Cricetulus griseus: one gene and its partners. The protein of the gene in region 1 interacts with the protein of each later gene in a pairwise test. Links are inferred from orthologs where the notes say so. Each region holds a gene or a part of one and is shown in the gene's direction. Other genes may lie near its edges.

Region 1 (4,114 bases):
GCCCAGTGGTGGTGCCTCTGTCAGTGTCCTGAGACTGCTCTGCAGACTGGTTCACTGGTGTTCCAGACAACTGCAGCATTCGGAATGTTTCCAGCCACATCTGTTCTCACACTTTTCCTTTTTTATATGTGTGTGTGTGTGTGTGTGTGTGTGTGTGTGTGTGTGTGTGTGTGTGTGTCTGCATGTGTGTGTCTGTGTAAATGGGTCTGCACATCTGTCTGTGCATGCCTGTGGAAGCCAGAAGAGGGCGCTGAGTCACTCGGAGTTGTGGTAAAGGGTGGTTGTGAGTGTTGGGGATCTGAACTCCACTCCTCATGAGACTGTCTTAACCATTGAGACATCTCCAGTCCACTACTGTCTCAGATTCTAAGCAAATTTAGCGTCCCTGAAATGGCTTCAGTGGTAGACCAGAATCACACACTCTCATGCCCTGATCATAAGGCAGGCCTGGGCTGGCACAGCAGCCATCTCTTGCCTCTTCAGCTGCTCTCCTAGGATGATATAACTGGCCATCCAAGGGCGATGTAGTTCAGTAAGCACAGTGCTTCTCTAGTACACAAAAGACCCCGAGTTGACGCCCAGAACCTCGTAAACTGGGAATAATGGTGTTCTCCCCTAATCCTAGCACTTTGGATGTAGAGTCAAGAGGATCAGGAGTTCAAGGTCATCCTTGATGACAGTGAATTCAAGGTTAACCTAATCTACTGAGAGCCTGTCTTTAATAAGGGAGAGGGAAGTTTGTGGCTAGATTGCTCAATAGGTAAAGGCATTGGTCACCAATTCTGATGACCTCAGTTTGATTTCTGTAACCCCCACACTGAAGAAAAAGAAGTGACTCCTGTCAGTGACCTGTGACCTCCACATATGCTCCATGTCATACCTACCCCTCCCTAAAGTAAATAAATGTAGTTGTTTTTTTAAGGCTGAACAAGAACAAATATGGACCAGACATATGGGACAAGAAGTTCTCTTTTGTAGGGTCTGGAGTTCCACTTCTGAATCCTGAGTCTCCAGGAGGAGGGTCAGGATCAATGCTCAGTATAAAAGGGAGAGACAGAAGTCTGTAGATCCGTCCAGACCATCCTTCCCACCCTGAGCCATGTGTGCTGTCTCTCCCATGTGCTAGTTTCTGTTAGGAAGAAGGTCTCAAGCCAGAACACGGAGAGCAGAGGTTGCAGGAACCTTCCCAGTGACAAGTGAGCCCCACACTGACCCACCACCCACTGAAAGCAGTGACACCCCTGCTGCTCTTCTTGCTCAAGAAAGCCACCAGCTGAGTGAGTCAGGGTCACTCAGTCCGGGACAGCTGTGGCTCGCCTTACATGAGCTAAATTGGGAACTGGAATGTCACACAAATGCCCCTTGTCTCCCTACCCCCACAGTAATATTAACCTCTCTAGCGAGCAAGGGACAAAGAGTACTGCCTGTAGAGTGAGCACGAGGGTGGTTTGGGGGAGCAAGAGAATTTCTCAGGGGGAGCTAAAGGGACAAGTTTGTGGAGACGGCTCTGAACAGGGAGTGCAGACAGAAGCGTCTGGAAATAGCCAGGGTGAGAGGGGCCGTTAGAGGGAGAGAAACAGGAAACATCACCCTTTCAAGAGGGAGCAAGATCAGGGATCCTAAGAATCCACAGACAGCCTAAAGTTTACAAGAAGTGTGCACAGGCAGCGAGAGAAGGCCAGAAACAGGGCCAAGGCAGGCACTAGAGCGCCAAGGGATGAACTTCACCGTGGGTTTCAAGCCGCTGCTAGGGGATGCACACAACATGGACAACCTGGAGAAGCAGCTCATCTGCCCCATCTGCCTGGAGATGTTCTCCAAGCCCGTGGTGATCCTGCCCTGCCAGCACAACCTGTGCCGCAAGTGTGCCAATGACGTCTTCCAGGTGGGCTTGGGGACAGCTGGGTCAGGTCTAGGAAGGGACTGGGTGGCAGGTCCCACAGGCGGGAGATGGTGACGCTGCCCCAACTCAGTGGCAGGAGAGTTGGAGGCTGTGGGATCCCAGAGGAAGCACGAGTCAGCAGTTGCCCAGAGCCTGGCAAGCACAGCCTGTGTGCACAGCGTCAGAAGGAGGACCCCAGGGAGACTGGCAGAAACTGGCAAGGAGGGTGGTCTTGCCTGGACTTTGTGGGAGCCTTACTAGATTTCATTTACTTTGAGGCTTTGTGGTTTTATTTATTTACTTTCTTTACACACCATAGATGAGATCAATGAAATATGAGGTATTAAAAAAATAATAGAGCCAGCAAGACAGTGAAGACACTTGCTACCAAAGCTGACAACCTGAACTTGATCCCCAAAACATAAAATTAAACCCTAGAATTAAAAATTTGTGACAAACCAGTGAGAAAGCCTATGATGCCAGCCGAGCTGTGTATATTTGAGATAGAGCTCCTCTCTCCATGAGGGAGCTGCTTAGACACAGTGGGCCAGGGAAGCAGAAGTTTTCCCCAGTTTCACACCTGTGAGCCCTCCTGACCTGGTGAAGAGGCCCATGGACCAACTGATACTCAGGTGATTTATGGACAGAGAGAAGGCAGAAGCAGAATTGTACTTCCCAGAAATGCCTGTGTAGCTGTGGTCATGAGGCCGGGCATAGCTAAGTTAAGTCACTGATATCATTCTGTCCACACATTTCAAAAATAAAAACAAAAAAGCTGGGCATGGTGATGCATGGCTGCAATCCCAGCCCTTGGGAGGTGGCAGCCGGAGAATGAGTTTAAGGCCAGCTTGGGCTATGTGAGACCCTGTCTAACCAACTAAATAAATGCATACATCATAATTCTTTATAAATTCATAGGCTTGCTTTCCTACCCTGTATCATTCATAGAGGTTCCAGTAGGCTGTAAACTAGATCAGAGGTCAGGGAGAGCGAAGGGACAGGACTCACGTGTACAGACATGAGACCTTGCAGATGAAGTAAAAACTGCAAGATCCGGGTGGCTTGGTGCAAATCTGTGACAGAAGCATCAGGAATAAGATTCCAGCCAGGAGCCAGGCTGTGTGACACATGCCTGTGGTTGAAACACCTAAGAGGACCACCACAACTAGAGACTAGCCTGTTATACATAACTCCCACAAACTAGAGGCTAGCCTGGTGTATGTAACCACCACAAACTAGAGACTAGTCTGGTCTATGTAACCCCCACAAACTAGTGGCTAGCCTGGTCTACATAACCACCACAAATAGAAGGTAGCTTGGTCTATGTAACCACCACAAACTAGAGGCTAGCCTGGTCTATGGAACAATTATACCAGTATATCCACTGGCTATGTATAGTAAGACCAAGTCTCAAAAATTAAATAAAAAAGTGGTAGGGCTGGAGAGATGGCTCAGTGGTTAAGAACTCTTGTTGCTCTCCCAAACAACTCAGTTTCCGTTCCCAGCATCCACATGATAGCTTACAACTGTCTAACTCCAGTTCCAGGGGACCTGATGCTCCCTTCTGAACCCTCCCCTCATGGGCATTATGCATGCAGGCAAAATACATACACATAAAATAAATCTCAAAAAGATTATTCCTGCTTTTCACAGACTATGAGGGAATGAGTTGAGCAGACATTTTCACACCTTTTTCCCTCCTCTCTTTGGTGCTATGGTTAATCCAGGGCATTGTGTGTGTTAAACATGCATTCTACCATTGCTCTACACCACAAGCCCCAACACAAGCTATTTTTTTAAAGATTTATTATGTATACACACACCAGAAGAGGGAACCAGATTTCATTATAGATGGCTGTGAGCCACCATGTGGTTGCTGGGAATTGAACTCAGGACCTCTGGAAGAGCAGCCAGTACTCCTAACCTCTGAGCCATCTCTCCAGCCCCAGCACAAGCTATTTTTAAAAAAATATTTCTTATTAGTGTGTGTGTGTATGTGTGTGTGTGTGTGCGCACAGAAGCCAGAAAAGGGTGTCAGATCCCCTGGAGCTGGAGCTGCAGTGTTTGTGATGTGGCAGCTGGGAACCAAACTCTGATGCTCTGAAAGAGCAGCATGTGTTCCAAATGGCCAGGCTGTCTCTCCAGTCTTGACACAAGTGGGTCTTAACTTCACTGAGAACATAGCCTTTTAGGTTCCTTGGCATAGCAGGCTTTCTTGGACCACCAGCCTCC
Region 2 (2,548 bases), on another chromosome or scaffold:
AAAAGAAAGAAAGAAAAAGAAGAAGAATACCTAGGCACTACCAAAATCACTTTTCCTTCTTCTTCTTCTTTTTTTTTTTTAACCCCAAGACAGGGTTTCTCTGTGTATCCGTGGCTGTCCTGGAATTCGCTCTGTAGACCAGGGTGGCCTCAAACTCACAGAGATGCACCTGCTTCTGCCTCCTGAGTGCTGGGGTTAAAGGCGTGCGCCGCCACCACCATCACGGGTACAAAAGCACTTTCTACACATCATCATTATTTCTCTTTCTCATTCACTGCTACACTGACTGTGTGTGCTGTGTGTGTGCTCCTGTTCTTGGGAGACACAGTGAGCAAAGGAGCCTTTATATAAGGATTAACTCACTTTCCCCAGCAGTCTGCACCCCATCTACGCTGTCATTCAAGAACTGGATTAAAAAAGGGTAGTCAAGATGGCTCAGTCCCCAGATGGTTCAATCTCCAGAACCCACAGAAAGATGGAAGGACAGAATGGACACCACAAAGTAGCCCCCTGACCTTCACACACAAGTGCTGTGGCATGTGTGCCCCTTCCCACCATATGTAATTAAAAAGAATTTGCAAAGTGGGACTGGGGTGTAGCTCAGTGGTAGACCGCTTCCCAGGAGTGTCTGAGGGTTTGAATGCCCTCTGAAACAAAACCTCCAAATGTCAGTAGTGGTGAAAGGAGCCTTACCTCCTCCCTTTTTTTGAGATACTGTCCAAAATTCCACTTTTCCCACAGAGCCACCCTCCTCAAGGTTCGAGACACCATCAGCAGCCATGTGGAGCGGGTGTTTCAGACCTACGAGCAGCATTCGGCTGCACTTGACATGGATGCTGTCCTGCAGCCCTCAGTTGTGAGCCCCTCTGTGGCTGACATGTTGGAGTGGCTGCAAGACATCGACAGACATTATCGAAGCTCATATCCTTGAGTGCATCCAGACTGCTCAGAGCTGCTCCAGCAGCCTTTGCTGGTTCACATCTCACAAGATCAGCAGGCTGTACAGTTTGCTGCAGTTCTCTTTAGAGCTCAAACTTGGGTTCTTCCTGCATTTGTTTGTGTATTTTAATAGTCACTCCTTACAGTTTAGCTGCTAGGCACTGCTGTGAGTGCTGAGAGGCAGGCATGAGAAGGGGAATGTGTGCTGTCAGATGTGGTGAGTGCTAAGAACAAAGCAGGGAGACAAGGTAGGAAGGGTGGGCTGTGGGTTTTTTTTTCTCGAGACAGGGTTTCTCTGTGTAGTCCTGGCTGTCCTGGCCTCTGTCTCCAGAGTGTCAGGGTTAAAGGTGTATACCACCACCACCCAGCTTGGGGTTGTGATTTTAATAGTGTCAAACAGGCACCCATGAGGCAGCGATGGGTATGACATTTGAGCAAAGTTTTGAAAGAGTGAAGGAATGAGCCATGTGGATATTTGGGAGAAGAATGGTCCAGGCAGAAGGTACATGGAGTGAAAAGGCCTGTGCGGGAGCATGCCTGGTATATTTTGGACATAGCCATGAGGTCTGTGTAATGAGGGCAGGGCATGAGGATAGTGACATGGGACCTTGGTTTTTTGAGAAGGATTTTTTGTTTGTTTGTTTGTTTTGTTTGTTTTGGTTTTTCGAGACAGGGTTTCTGTGTAGCTTTTGAGCCTATCCTGGCACTCGTTCTGGAGACCAGGCTGGCCTCGAACTCAGAGATCCACCTGCCTCTGCCTCCCAAATGCTGGGATTAAAGGCTTGCGCCACCAACGCCCAGCTGGGTTTTGGCTGTTCTTTTGAGATGAATGTTCTCAGAAGATTTTAAGCAGAATAGTGTGGCCAAGGCTTATGCTTAGCATTCATGAGGAGGTCAGAGGATAACTTAACAGAATGGGTTCTCTCCTTCCACCATATGGCTCCCATTTAGTTCATTGGATTTGGCAGCAAGCACCTTCACCCAGTGAACCATCTTGGCAGCCCCTGGCATGGATGCTTAATCCTGTATCCCCTCCTGACTTTCCTCTATCTCCAGATTCTCTCTCTGAGCTGTCTGTGGTTATGTACCACAGTCATCTTCATGAGGTCTAGGTCTAGTTGTGTTCAACCAGGAGTTGTCAGCTCTTCTGTTGCTGGTGGGGTAGGGCTCAGAATCCCTACCTTGTCCTCCACTGCTGCCTTTATACTGGCTGAAGCCACCTTTCAACTACTTTCTACTTTAGCCAACCGTGTCAGGACACTGGGAGGCTTGCAGTGCCAGTCCACTCCATGCTTCCTCTGCCCTGTGCCTTTGTTTCTCTGTTTCTTCCAGTGGTGTGTTCATCTGAACTGCCAGACTTTTGTTTTTGTGTTTGTTACCATTTTGATTTCTCTAAATAGTGCTGGGATTAAAGGCGTGGGCCTCTACAGCTGACTAGAACTGCCACTGAGTTGTTTTGTTTTGTTATTTTTTTAATAATGTATTTACTTTTATTTTATGTGCATTGGTGTTTTGCCTGCATGTATGTCTGTGTATTTTGCCGGCATGTATGTCTTAATAACCATGTATGTCTCAGATCTTGAAGTTACAGATAGCTGTTAGCTGCCAT
Region 3 (3,520 bases), on another chromosome or scaffold:
AAGCAAAACATGTGCTCAACAAACTTGTCATTGCAGAGCCAGTTCATTCATGGCACTACTTCCTTCTCTTCCCAGGCCTGGGACTGACTTTTCTGTTCAGCTGGAGCACTGAACACACCAGCAGAGCCTTTCTCATTGCAGAATGAAAATCTCAGTGCCCTCCATTCTTAGGATAATTTTATGATTGGAATAACTTTCAGAAGAATGCTACAGTCATCTTGTTTGTAAATTAGCAGGCATCTTTAAATGTGTCCAAAGAATTAATCAAAATCATTAGTAAAAAGAAAACTGGAATTTATACTACATTAAAATCTTTGTGTGTGGGTGAGGAGTCCTGGTGTGTATATGTACAGGTGTGTTCACAGGTACACAGTGAAAGCCACAGGAGAATATCAGAAGCTGATTGAATCATCTGCCTTATTTCCTTAAAACAGAGTCTCTCACCAAAACTGGAACTAGGCTGGTGTCCAGCAAGCCTCAGAAATCCTCCTGTCTCCATCACCCCCAGCTCTGGGGTTACAACTATGCTTGGTCACACCCAGCTTTTTACATGAGTGCTGATCCAAACTTAGGTCCTTATGCTTATGCAGCAAGTGTTCTTAACCACTGAGCCATTCCTCCAAACCCTAATCCCCCCAGCCCTTCTTTTGGTTTTGGTTTTGGTTTTGGAAACAAGGTATCAAGTGGCACAGGCTGACCTTGAACTCCACCTATAGCCAAGAATGACTTTGGATTTCTAATCCTCCTCCTCCTAAATGCTGGGATTGCAGTTGTACAACACCATGCCATCTTTATTTGGTGCTGGGGATTAAACCAGGGGCTTATAGCTAGGCAAGTACCCTACAAACTGAGCTAAATCCCTGACCCTGCCCTTGCCCCTGCCCCTGCCCCTGCCCCTGCCCCAAGCTAAAATCCTTTGAGTAGTTTTTTAAAACTTGCTTGCAAGATAACTGTTGAATGTCTTAATTACATTTCTTAGAAAACTTTCCCACCTAAATCTTATTTGTCAAAACCATGAAGATGAAAACTTCCCTCTCCAACCATTCACCTGTGTCTTAGTTGTTACATGGCTTGTATTACTGATCCTGAGCATGATGGTGTCCTTGAAGAGGTAGTATCCATTTTTAATTAAGACTAAAATTGACTGCATATAGTGAAATTGTGTTCATCCTTGCCCAGAACTATACTCACTGAAGACACTTCCACTGTTTAAGCATAGTTCACAAAGACAAGCACAGTGCCTTACATAGGCTGGGTGCTTTAACCAATATTTTAAAACAAGAAACTAAGACTCATGATTGATACTTAGCATACAAGTGATAGAAATTCTTTAACAATTGGATTTTAATCATGAATCACAGCTGTTGTCTTTGTTGTTGTTTTTTAAACCAGATATAACAACCCTGAGAAACTTTTGGAAACAAGATGTGGACGCTGTGGCGAGTGGGCCAATTGTTTTACGCTGTGTTGCCGTGCATTAGGGTTTGAAGCTCGATATGTGTGGGATTACACAGGTACAGCATGTGGTAGGAGAGAGGAAGAGGTGAGGTAGGAAAGGGGCTCTATAGATTTGGAATTCAGATTTGTGCCCTAAGCCCCTAATTTTCTCTTTCTTATATCAGCCTAAGTTTTTTATTCACCTCCTGTCTTAGTTGGGGTTTCTATTGCTGTGAAATGACCGCAGCAACTCTTTATAAAGGAAAACACCAATTGGGGCTGGCTTACAGTCTCATAGGTTTAGTCCTTTATAATCATGGCAAGCAGCATGGTGGCTTGCAGGCAGGCAGACATGGTGTTGAAGAAGGGACTGAGAGTTCTACATCTTGATCCATAGGCAGCAAAAGGAGACTGTGAGTCATACTGGGTGTAGCTTGAGCATATAAGACCTCAAAGCCTGCCTCCACAGTGACACACTTCCCCCAACAAGGCTGTATCCACTCCAATAAGGCCACACCTCCTAATGGTGCTACTCCCTATGGGCCAAGCATTCAAACACATGAGTCTATGGGAGCCATTCCTATTCAAACTACCATACCTGTGTAAAATAAGAGCAGTACCAACCTCACAGGCATTCTCAAGGCTCCATAAGATTTTTGAAACAGACCTAACTCTATTCCTGGGAGCTAGACTGTATCCTTCTAATCTTTTAGCATGACATTAATGGTAGCCCTGTTCTGGGTGGATGGGAATATGTGTAATAATGTGCTGTGGAGATCATTTTTAAAGGGATTGCTGTAATTGACACGGCCTATATTGCAGTCTACACAAACACTCTGAGGAAAGCCTTGGTATTTGACTTGGTCTTCATTTAGAAATGACTGTTGTGTCTGGTTGCTGTCTCTGTTTCAAGGTTTTCCTTGTTTACACTATTATTTTAGAATCAGATGAAAATGTCAGCTAATAGTCTTCTCTCTGTCAAAATCAAATGTAGAGCCTCAAGCAGGGTATGGTGGCATATGCCTGTAATCCCAGCATTCAACACAGGCTGTGGCAGGAGGATTGAAGCCAGCCTAGGTATTCATTTACCTATTGATGAGACTCCATTTCAAAACCAAATATAGACCATAAACAACCGGATATCCTGTTAGGCCTCGTGGGTCCAGAGAGTGATTGTAGTTTCAAAATTCAGTCATTCCTTCACAGCCTGGTGGTTGTGATGCTTTGCTAAAACTTTGCCTGCTTTAGAGTTTGCCTGCTTTAGAGTTATAACACACATTATTTTTAATTAAGACTTACACGAGTACATTTTAAAAAATTTAAATACAAATAATCTACAATTATGTGTGCCACAAAATGCTTTTGCTAACTAACTAAAATTTAAACATTATAAATTAGATTATTATGTGATTCGTAGAACATTATATATAGTTAATTGGAAGTTATTCTTGTTTTACAAACTTAACTTCTATTTCCCATTTCTTTTTCTTACCCCATGTGAGTAGACCATGTTTGGACAGAAGTCTATTCTTCTTCTCAGCAGCGGTGGCTGCACTGTGATGCATGTGAAGACGTCTGTGACAAACCTCTCCTTTATGAAATAGGATGGGGCAAAAAGCTTTCCTATATCATAGCATTCTCTAAAGATGAGGTAGGACATAAGAGAAAGAATTACAAGAATAAAACTATTTTAAAGTGTATTTGACATTCAGGTCATATACATTTGCCCTGTGCTGTTTAATATATGTCATTTTTATATTCCAAAAACTCACTGTAATCAGTGTTTTCTGCTGTGGGTGTACCAAGGAATGTTCGTATCTATGTACCTACAGGTGGACATTAAATGGGTTCAGTTTTTAATATTTTAAATTAAGCTGCTACAAACATTCTGGTATATACTTGCTTTTTCTTTCTGTTTACTACCTAGGAGTAGAATGGCTGGATCATTGTCCAGTTATTTTGCAAAGGAATGGCACCATTTTATTTTCTTACCAGCAGTACATGAGACTTCCCAGTTTCTCCACATCTTTGCCAAAGTTTAATGTGGCTTTACTTTTAAATTTAGCCCTGACGAAGAGAGAAT
Region 4 (3,520 bases), on another chromosome or scaffold:
CTATGAAAGTCTGAACTGAGTTTGGTTCCCAGAACCCAGTGAAAGTGGAAGGGAGAGTAGACTTCACAAAGTTGATCTCTGACCTCCACACACACCGTGGCACAAGTGTGCACACATATGCACAAACATACGCACAACAAACATAGCAATAAATTGTAAACTAGCAGATAATACCACACTCCGTCAACAGATCCATGGCACTGGTGACCGAGAGCATGGCCCCTGGATTGAACCAGAAACTACCATGTCCATTCAGTCTGTCTGTGCAAGTCACTGTCTGTAGGCCTCAAGAGTCTAATCTAAAAAAACGAGGAAGAAACAGTGGCTACCCTGATAACATTGTGAAAGTCAACTTCTTCTTGCTACCTATTTACATTAAAAATGTAGTTATTTTTTATGCCTATGGGTGTTCTGCCTGCACACACACACACACACACACACCAGAGCATCACGTGAATGCTGTGGCCCTAGAAGTAAGACAAGAGCATCCGATTCTCTGGAACTGGAGTTAAGGACAGTTGTGAGGCACCGTGTGAGCTGCTGGGAATTGAACCCAGAACCTTGCAGAGTGTAGCCAGTTCTCTTAACCACTGAGCCACCTCTCCAGTCCCTATTTATGATTTTAGAAGCAAAGTCTCATGTAGCCCAGGCTGACCTTGACCTTCTGATCTGCTTCCACTTCTTGGTTGCTAGGGTCACAGGTGGCACCAGCCACACCCAGTGTATGTGGTTCTGGGGTCAATACAGGCCTTCATACATGCCAGTGGTCCTGGGGGTCAGTGCAGGCTTCATACATGGCCAGGTGAGCACTCCACTGCCTGCCCTAAAGGATGAGGTCATTGATGAAGCTAGAAATTATATTTTGTATGGGAAAAAGTATCAGTGACAACTACTGTGCCATTTTCCTCAGTAAACAGATGTTTGTTTATTCTTTTTTTTTCCATGTTTGGTTTTTCCAGAAGGGTTTCTCTGTGTAGCTTTGTAGACCAGGGCTGGCCTCGAACCCACAGAGATCCGCCTGCCTCTGCTTCCCAAGTGTTGGGATTAAAGGCGTGTGCCACCAATGTCTGGCTTGTTTCTTCTTATGTGGAGTCTGTCCTTTATCTCTGATGCTAAATTGTGCCTATTACTTTTGTTTGATATTTGAGTTTGAAACTGAGGAAATCAACAGAAGAGGGAACCGTAATTTGATCTGCATTTCGATTTGTCTCTTCTCTTATTTCTCTTCTTTCACAAAAACTCTAGTTCCTCTCAGCCTAAGGAGCCTTCCTTGCATAGCCTCAAATGTATTCTTGGTTCTCTGACCCTCTTAGCTACACAGGAACATTCAGAAATATAAACACTATCTAGAAATAAAAATACTGAAAAATAATTGGTTTCCTAAATATCCAAGATGCTCCATTTCTCATTAAAATAATAAAACATCCCAAGAAGGTAAGAGAGATGCCTACCCCAGTGTGGAACCCTTGGCCCAGGTAATGGAAACACAGCCACTGGTTTCATGGGGTCACAAAACTAACTCATCTTTCTGCCAGCAAGAGTTCATGTATTGATAGTAATACCTACACTTTAAAACCTGAAAAGAAACGGAAAGAAAAATTCCTTTCTGATTCACCCTGAGGTTGACTACTTGGGCCAATAAGGTGGCTCATCAGATAAAGGCTTTTGTCACCAAGACTGGTGATCTAAGTTCAGGCCCTGGAACTCACATGGTAGAAAAAAAGAACAGAAACCCAAAATCCTCTGACCTCCACACTTAGAAACACAGACACACACACACTTTCATACACATACCATACACACACTAACACACACACACAACACACACAATACATACATGACTTACATACTACACACACACATCATACACACCACACACACACACACACACACACACACACACACACACCACACACACACACACACCACACACACACACACACACACCACACAAACATACTCCTCTCTCTGTGTGTGTCTCTCTCAAGTAAAAATGTGATAACTCCTCTTTTTCTCTTTTAGAGAAGTTAACTTTAAAATTTGGTGTCATGACTCTGTTTCCCCCTCAGGTTTACCACATTTCCAGAAACACATGGTTCAAAATGGAGACAAGGATGATCAAGAACGTGTGCGCCCCCGCAGTGGTACTGGGGGAGAGAATTGTCATTGTGGGAGGTGAGTGAACAGAGCGGTCGGGAACAAACTCAGCAGCTCCTGGGGAAACGGCTGCTGAGAGGCCGGGCTTGGGAAATCACATCCATCCGGAGGAAAGTGCGGAAAACCCAAAGAGCCGTTCGCCTGGAAGCTTCTTCCTGTCTCTCTCTATATTCTACAGAGCTGTTGTCCTGATAAAATGTATTATGTGGCTAAAGCCAGCAGGACTGTTGTAGACACAGGAAGAAGAGATGCCAACACTAGCTAGGTGTGGTAGCTCACACCTGTAATTTGAGCACTTGGGAGGCTGAGATGGAAGGATTGCCAGTCTGGGCTACATAGTGAGTTCCAGACCAGACTATACAAAGTATAAGACCCTCTCTCAAAATACTACTACTAATAATAGTAGTGGTGCTGCTGCTGCTGCTGATACTAACAACAACAATGGCTTCTAACACATCACTTCTCTGTAAATGCATACTATTCTGTGGTTAAGAGGGCCAGTAGAGGGGTCAAAGAGACCTGGGTTCAAATCCCAACTCTACCATTAGGTGGTTATATACTTTTTGCAAGTTAGTCATCTTTCTATGTCTTGGTTTGCCTGTCACGAAAATGGGAACCCTCAAAACAACTGCCCAGCAGACAGCCATGCAATCCATTTCTGTGTTCCCAAAGAAGGTCCTCGTCCTTGAATGGCTGTGGCTCTGGGGTCACGCAGAAGAGATAATAATGGCAGCAGGGCTGTAGAAGCTATTGGAAGGCAGAATTTCCCCCTACGCTACGAATGACTTACATGGCTGCCGTAATTTGGGCCAGAGCCAGAGAGATCCAGATGCCAGCCTCAGCTCTGCCACAAGCCAGGCTGCAGCAGGGTACCTGGGCATCCATGCTTTGGTCAGAGTCCCAGCCTGGCGGGTGTCTGGGGGCCAGGGGGGTGGGGAATTGGGGAGCAGAAGCATTCTTCAAGCCCTGATCCACAGCCCCAGGTGAGCCACCCACAGCTGTCCGTGCGTTATTCAATTTTCAGGTTACACAAGGAGGATTCTTGCTTATGACCCTCGGGCCAACAAATTTGTCAAGTGTGCAGACATGAAGGACCGGAGGATGCACCACGGGGCGGCAGTGATGGGAAGCAAGCTGTATGTGACAGGTGGGCGGAGGCTGACCACGGACTGCAACATTGAGGACTCCGCCTCCTTTGACTGCTATGACCCTGAGACGGACACCTGGACATCCCAGGGACAGCTACCGCACACACTCTTTGACCACGCCTGCCTGACTCTCCAGTGCATCCGTCACACGGCCGGCTTCACGTGAAGGCCACAAGAACCTATCTGGGTCAAAATGCTGTGTGATGCAAGAGATT

The links.
Region 2: the proteins of Trim54 (region 1) and CUNH1orf109 interact in binary tests that used the Homo sapiens proteins (3 or more experiments, as listed by UniProt). The two-hybrid records come from large-scale screens. The link is inferred for Cricetulus griseus from reciprocal best matches to the Homo sapiens genes TRIM54 and AIRIM.
Region 3: the proteins of Trim54 (region 1) and Ngly1 interact in binary tests that used the Homo sapiens proteins (3 or more experiments, as listed by UniProt). The two-hybrid records come from large-scale screens. The link is inferred for Cricetulus griseus from reciprocal best matches to the Homo sapiens genes TRIM54 and NGLY1.
Region 4: the proteins of Trim54 (region 1) and kelch-like protein 38 interact in binary tests that used the Homo sapiens proteins (3 or more experiments, as listed by UniProt). The two-hybrid records come from large-scale screens. The link is inferred for Cricetulus griseus from reciprocal best matches to the Homo sapiens genes TRIM54 and KLHL38.

Annotation. Positions count from the first base shown.
Region 1 is NC_048600.1:13,268,705-13,272,818, reverse strand, and holds the start of Trim54 (tripartite motif-containing protein 54), read left to right. Parts: upstream 1-1,300; 5' UTR 1,301-1,717; coding exon 1,718-1,885; intron 1,886-4,114. UniProt on the Homo sapiens protein: May bind and stabilize microtubules during myotubes formation.
Region 2 is NC_048595.1:28,114,314-28,116,861, reverse strand, and holds part of CUNH1orf109 (uncharacterized protein C1orf109 homolog), read left to right. Parts: intron 1-741; coding exon 742-921; intron 922-2,548. UniProt on the Homo sapiens protein: Part of the 55LCC heterohexameric ATPase complex which is chromatin-associated and promotes replisome proteostasis to maintain replication fork progression and genome stability.
Region 3 is NW_023276807.1:173,763,760-173,767,279, forward strand, and holds part of Ngly1 (peptide-N(4)-(N-acetyl-beta-glucosaminyl)asparagine amidase), read left to right. Parts: intron 1-1,392; coding exon 1,393-1,514; intron 1,515-2,942; coding exon 2,943-3,088; intron 3,089-3,520. UniProt on the Homo sapiens protein: Specifically deglycosylates the denatured form of N-linked glycoproteins in the cytoplasm and assists their proteasome-mediated degradation. Cleaves the beta-aspartyl-glucosamine (GlcNAc) of the glycan and the amide side chain of Asn, converting Asn to Asp.
Region 4 is NC_048603.1:29,304,672-29,308,191, forward strand, and holds part of kelch-like protein 38, read left to right. Parts: intron 1-2,069; coding exon 2,070-2,175; intron 2,176-3,181; coding exon 3,182-3,471; 3' UTR 3,472-3,520.